2 linked regions of the Danio rerio genome follow. The protein of the gene in region 1 purifies or fractionates together with the protein of each later gene. This does not show direct contact. Links are inferred from orthologs where the notes say so. Each region holds a gene or a part of one and is shown on either strand. Other genes may lie near its edges. The genes, in order: limk2 and ttc1.

What was found.
Region 2: the proteins of limk2 (region 1) and ttc1 purify together in Homo sapiens (affinity purification with mass spectrometry; 3 studies listed by BioGRID and IntAct, counting the BioPlex papers as one, with this or other methods). This does not show direct contact. The link is inferred for Danio rerio from reciprocal best matches to the Homo sapiens genes LIMK2 and TTC1.

Annotation. Positions count from the first base shown.
Region 1 is NC_133180.1:21,573,921-21,577,760, reverse strand, and holds part of limk2 (LIM domain kinase 2), read right to left. Parts: intron 3,775-3,840; coding exon of another isoform or gene 3,745-3,774; intron 3,315-3,744; coding exon 3,205-3,314; intron 2,174-3,204; coding exon 1,982-2,173; intron 1,610-1,981; coding exon 1,504-1,609; intron 1-1,503. UniProt on the Homo sapiens protein: Serine/threonine-protein kinase that plays an essential role in the regulation of actin filament dynamics. Acts downstream of several Rho family GTPase signal transduction pathways.
Region 2 is NC_133196.1:32,670,330-32,673,238, forward strand, and holds the end of ttc1 (tetratricopeptide repeat protein 1), read left to right. Parts: intron 1-1,470; coding exon 1,471-1,607; 3' UTR 1,608-2,246; downstream 2,247-2,909.

The sequences.
Region 1 (3,840 bases):
ATTTTTAGGATTACGGGACTTCAGGCTGCTCATTACAGCGGGCAGACTGCTGCCAAAGAAAGTCAGTCCAAACCTCTATGTATGTGATTAAATTAAAGCACAAATCCCTGAAAGAAACAGTGAAGTGAAGGAGCGGAATTCAGATGTTAAGGAGTAATGGTGGGAAAATGAAGTCACATTTACAAATGCACGATGAGAATGCTAAGCATTTACACAGAAGTTGACAAGTCACTTCAGTACAAAAGTATACATGTGCACACCTCCCAGCACAGGTATGCATTACAACGTTAAACTTATGCTTGAGTATACGGATAACCCGATACAATGTTTTTAGAAACAAACATTGGCCAAAAAAAGATACTGGTCTGATATCAGTTTTAATTGTAACGTTTTAAAGTTTTTATACTTAAGATAATCTGAGGATTAGAAACAAAGAGTTTGGTTTGGTTTTGGTAAAACATTAGATAAAATTGTTTATGAAAAGCAATGAGAGAATATGACATTTTGGAGTCAGTCAACGTGCAGCTCTCCAGTACCTGCTGCCGCTTTGAAAAATTCAGAGCACAAAGGGAAGCCATCAATGATTTGTTGATCTTTGCAACATATTGAGTCTTTTCTTTTTAACTTCAGTTACTGTGTGCATAAAAAGCAGATCATAGTGTTCCATACTACTGCAGTGCTGCGATCTAGACACAGACACACAGGAGAATGTGACATGATTTAGAAAGAGCAAGTTGAAATAAATTCCTTAAATGCAAAACTATATGCATCCATCCAATGATCATTAGATATAATAATGGGAACAAATCATCTTGTTTACATTTGATTTGATTACAATGATCTGCAAGCTCAGCGGAGGGAAGAGCTGATGGGAAATTGAATTTAACCACTAGAATATTCCTTGTACCTCACATGAACTATCAGATTACTTCATGAATGGTACATTATAATTTCTTTATACGTATGTTACATAATCAATTATACATTATATATAAATTCTTTATGCGTATGTTACAATATTACAGAATAATATATGACACCCGATATGGCAAAAGAAAATGTGGTATCAAAGCTGAAATCGGATCGAAGTATCAGCTCGGAGCATCCCTACTTGACTACTTAATATTATTCATACTAAAACTATATATGTATTGCTTTCGTAGCCTTAACACGCCTAACTTCAATTTGACAAAACATGAAGCATGTCAACGAAGTTAGCAACGTGTCATATGGCTTATACTAAAAAAAACACATCAAAGTCATCTAACAAACACAGCCTGTTCTAGGGAGTATTGTAAAGTCAGAGCACGACCCAAACGCAATTACCCCGGTATGAAAGGAGTGTCACTGTATGTGCTGGGACAAGCAATGGTATGAGTTTATAGTTTATAAACGTTTACCATGCCGTTCCTCAGTATAATCATACTGCTTCAACACGTACCCACGAGCACAATTTCACCGTACATAAAAAGAAACTAAAGTTGTGGTTAAAAGGGAAAGTACCTCTTCCTCTATCAGGGATGTCACTGGGAGTCCATTGATCTCCAGGATTCGGTCCCCAACATGGATGGCATTCCGAACCTCAGGACTAATATGCATCCCTCTGACCCTGTAAGGATAAGATTTTGGGAGATTTGCATTGTAAGAAGACTGGTCAAGAATGAAGAGATAAATGTTATCGCTTTTTTACTATGATTTCGGTTTTAGTAAACACAAAAACAGTGCCATGTTAGGGCCCTCAATCTAAAACGAGCAGTCGTATCACCACAGTTATGCAACACATTCCATGTGGCATTAACAGTGTCTCTGGCATGGGGTGTGGTGGCATTGTAGTGAATCTTTGAGGTGATAAATAACTTCAGCAAGAATTTATTCCAAGAGTTTTTTCAGTAACATGACTGCTAGCCAAACCAGGACTCAAATCAAGATCTTAAGCAAGGCATCAAGTGTTTTCATGTTGATTCTTAATGTCTTCACTTACTCTTTAACCTGGACGCTGGCAATGGCACTGGTGCAGTCTCTAATCACGCTGACAGAGAAGCCTCTTTTGCCATTGGTGGCAGCAGGCATGGACACCAGAGTCACTGTGTGAGGGAGCAGGTCTGATGGAGAGTCAGCCAAACCCCGCTTCTCCAACACTGGTGTCAGGACCACCTGCTTGTAGCATTTACCACTGGACGTAGGAAAAATAAAAGAGAGAAATAGTGAGAAGTTGATGAGCCTCTCAGAAGATTTCAGGACAAGACCTGACAAGTGCAAGACATGTTATGAAACTCTCTGATGTGCGCCAACTTGCCTGTGCTTTTACTGGAAACAACAAACGAAGATATACAACAGATTATGAACTAAAGCATTATGATTATGAAATTTGTAAAAACTTTATCTGTATGGTCCAGATCTAACATTCACAAATACATACACACACATACAAGCTTCGATTTACTTTTAAAGATGTTTCAAACAAATGATTTTCATGGGTAGTCTGCAATTAATATGTGATTGTGTTTTCAAATTTGTATAATTTTAGTTTAAACTGTGTTATTTTTATTTTCTTTAATGGAAGGTTCCACTTATCGTTAAAAAATAATAACAAACAAATACATTTACCTAATTACCTACATTATCTGACTGACCAAGTGCTGGAAAAATGTGCCCAGTGCAGTTTCATTCAAAAGTTCACACAAGTGTCATACAATATTTCATGTAACACGTCAAGATTTAATAAAAGTACAGATTTGCTGCTTATTAATAGGTGGTGAGATTGATGGGTTCAGGTATTGGGTAGGATTAGGCATGTAGAATAAGATTATGCTTTATAAAGTACTAATAAACAGACAACATCTAAATTAAAAACAGGTAATATGTTACTAGTTACTTAAATTTTTACTTAAACTACAGTGTTTTCGAATTATTATTATTATTTTTTTCAAATTATCTTACAAAAACCCTCTTCTCTGCAATGTTATCCTGTTGAGCCTTATAAATGGTACCTGAGGCAGTAGCTACATAAGGAGATGGAGTACTTAATAAAAATCAGTGATCCTAGTATTTTAAACTAGGACATATTTACATTTTTTTAGTGATTTGTCAGGATACACCTCTCAAAACTGGGACATCTGGTCACCCTAGCTAAGATATCAACACAGAGGAATCATCACTACAATTAGTACGGCACACAGAATGGAGGACTATAAAGTAACTTACCAGTAAAGTTTTGTACGTTCCACTAAGGCATAGGTGTCTCTATCTTCAATCACCACCCTGCAGCTCAAACACACAAAGCATTCGGGGTGGTATTTATAGTCTCCTGCCACCTGAAACATACGAATACCCCCGTTCAGATTAGATCACGGCTGCACAGTCTGACGACTTCACTTCAAAAGCCCACACTGGACATCCCAAAAGAAAATCCTCAGTGCCAGGAACCCCAGCCTTGATCGATATCCAAGAAAGTCTTTCTGGAATTCTCCTGTGCACTCTTGGTGCTATCTCTGCCAAGCCCAGGCGTGGTGGATCATGCTTTCATTGTGCTTCATCTGCTTTGTGTCGATGTACTGTCTTGGTTGAGTCTGCGTTCCTTGGCAGTGACGTGGGTGTGTGTTGTCTTTTTCTGTAACACCTGCAAGTGTCTGGGCCTGCCTGTTATCTGAAGTGACATACAGCCACCGCCCCCTTCCTATACGCATAATCCTATGCCCTTAGACAACCCCTCAGTTGTGTCAAACTTTGCTTAAGACCACCTACCTCTATCCAATGCATTCGCTTTGATGGCCCCTACCATAATGGATAAAAAAATGTCAAATTAATTGTAAAATTATATGAACGTAACGTTGCATGAAT
Region 2 (2,909 bases), on another chromosome or scaffold:
AGACTTATTTGAATTGCTGAAGCTTTTATCTCGTTATATGGTATTATCACAACATTGACATACGCTGCAAAAAAGTACAGCTAGAACAACATTGCTTTATCACATATGCATCTTCAGAGTAAACAAATGTTCCAACCAAATTAAATGATAAACATGGCTCATTAGTAAATGGATTCAAACTAACAGTGATGCATTTTGATTGCATGAATAAATCAATTGAATTCTAAATTTAAATTATTAACCATTTTGCAGATTTATGCACACTTTTGGTCTCTGCTGTATCTGCAGACCATCACTCATCTCATGGCTTTAAGATATGGTTGATCTTGTAATTGATTTATCAGAAAACAAGCATTAATCGTTTGTTAACTTTTGCATCCTGAGCTTATTACATGTTCAGAACATAAATATGTAAAACCTCACAAAAATAAGTGTAAATATGAATGTTCTACAGTTCGGCAACACTCTTATGGCTGAGAGTGCTGATATTTAGTGTGATGTTATCAGTGTTTTTAGTGCGGTATTCATTTTGAAGGTTGTCTGGAAAAATGCAACCTGTTTCATGAAGGGTTTTGCTGTTAGAAAGTTCTTGTCAGGTCCATTAATTGGTTTCTTTCAAAGAGACCTTTCAAACCAAAGAACCTTGGATTTTTTTAATGGTTGCATAAGTCATATTTGAAATCTAAAACAGTCTTTCAGACTAAAAAAGACAGAAATGACTGCAGATTTATTGTCGGGAAATAAATCAGTCCCATGAAGCATTACGAATGATAATCAAATAAAGAATGACATTGTTATCATTTTTAAAGCTTGAAACTCACAACATCTTTTAAGGCTTCTCAATTAAAAGTCCGTTTCTATTTTGCTCACATAATGCTTTCACATGGCATGGTCATCTTCCCGAAATATTACCAGCGATCCATCAGATATTTTTCCCTCTCTCTCTGTCTCATTCTCTCTCTCTGTTTAAAATTGTTGATTAAAAGCTGTCATGAAATATTTTACCTCCACACCCCATAAGATGAGACAACGCATCAGACTACAGCAGCTGGATTAGTCTAATAAGGCGCAGTACTTTTTGCAGTCAGGTCTGTTTTAGTTTGGATCATGTTTTCACCACAAACTAACTGCTCCAAGATTCATTTAAAAGCACAACGAAACCACCTCTTCAAGGAGGGTCTCGGTATGATTTTTTGGTCTGCACTTTTGCTACATTCACACCTGCCCAAACGACCGCACCAAGAGGGAAAACGAACTCTAGTGCGATTCAAGCGAACTAAATAATGCAGGTGTGAAAACACCCTAATACTCCATTAATTTCCATAAAATATATTTATTGCATTTTCATGGGATGAACAGACATTTACCTGGTTACTCATTGACCTTATGCATTTTTCTATTACTGGTTAAAGTAGTCTTTTTTTATTATTATTGTCTGGTACTTTATTAGTTTTCTCTTTTTCTCCTCAGGCAAGTTGAAGGACTTGGGCAACATGATTTTACGACCCTTTGGTCTCTCAACCTCCAACTTCCAGGTCAACCAAGACACCAACACAGGATCCTACTCCATTAATTTTGTGCAGAATCCCAATAACAACAACAGATAACAATCTGAAGTCTTTTATTCTAGTAATAAACTGCCCCTTTCAAGTATTTGTAAAACTATCTAGTCATACTCCATGTTTAAAGGTATAGTTCACTCAAAAATTCGAATTTACCCCCCTTCAAGAGTTTTTAAACCATTATGAGTTGCTTTATTGTCGAACACACACACAAACACACACAAATTAGTTTTGAATATAATATGTGCTGAAAACCTGTAACCAACTGCCATAGACAGAAAACAAATACTATGGAAGTCAATGGTTCCAGGTTTTTAGCTTTCTTCAAAATATCTCATTTTGTTTTCAACTGCAGAAACTCAAACAGTTATAGAACAAGTAAAGGGTGCGTAAATTGACAGAATTTAATTGACATTTTGAGTGAACGATCCCTTTAAACCAACTCATTCATCCATGTTAGCAGAATAAGTCGTCACAGAATAGTAACCCAAGCTGTTTTCATTGGAATAGACCAAATACATTCATCAACTCATGTCAAGTGGCTTTTGATTTTCGGCATGCCAGAGTGTTTCGTTTGCTGTGAAACTGAGCAGTGAGAATAACGGCCTTCATCTCTCCATCCAAACCTCGTGACCTGCAGTATTCAAACTCACCTGCGTTCACATTAAACCAGCTGTTATTTAACATTCCGTCTGTTGTTGTTTTTGTTTATATATAGACAACACTAATTAAAATGACAGATCACATTTAAAGTGTTGTGTCTCTTTTTGGTTTGCGTTCAGAGTTCTAAAAAGAATATACCACACAGATTAGTACAAGGCCCAAAAAAATCAGGTTTAATTTCATAAAGAGATACACATTTAATACAATAAAACAATTTTACACCCACGACCACCATCTTCATATGTATAGTCAGAGGAGCTGTCCGATTGTACTGAAACGCATCTATGTACAACAGCAAGAGTGAAAATATTCCCTTTTTACAGGCCTCGGGTTGAGTATGTGCAATGAACGGCGCCCCCTATGGCTGACAATCTGATAAAGTGCAGTGTTTCCCCAACCCTGTTTCTGGAGGCACATCAGCAGAGCATATTTTGGACGTCTCCCTTATCTGACCTATTAACATTAGGTATTGGGGACTGTTCTGATGAGTTAATTCAGGTGTGTTTGATTTGGGAGCTGATGAAAATCTGTACTGTTGGTGTGCCTTTAGGAACCGGCTTGGGAAACACTGCGATAAAGCATCGTACGATTGAGAGATCGAAAAGCTGCATTCTTATTGTAGAATTAGAAAATGATCTATAAATGTGGGAGCGCACAAAAAATGAGTCGATTAAACGGAAAGTT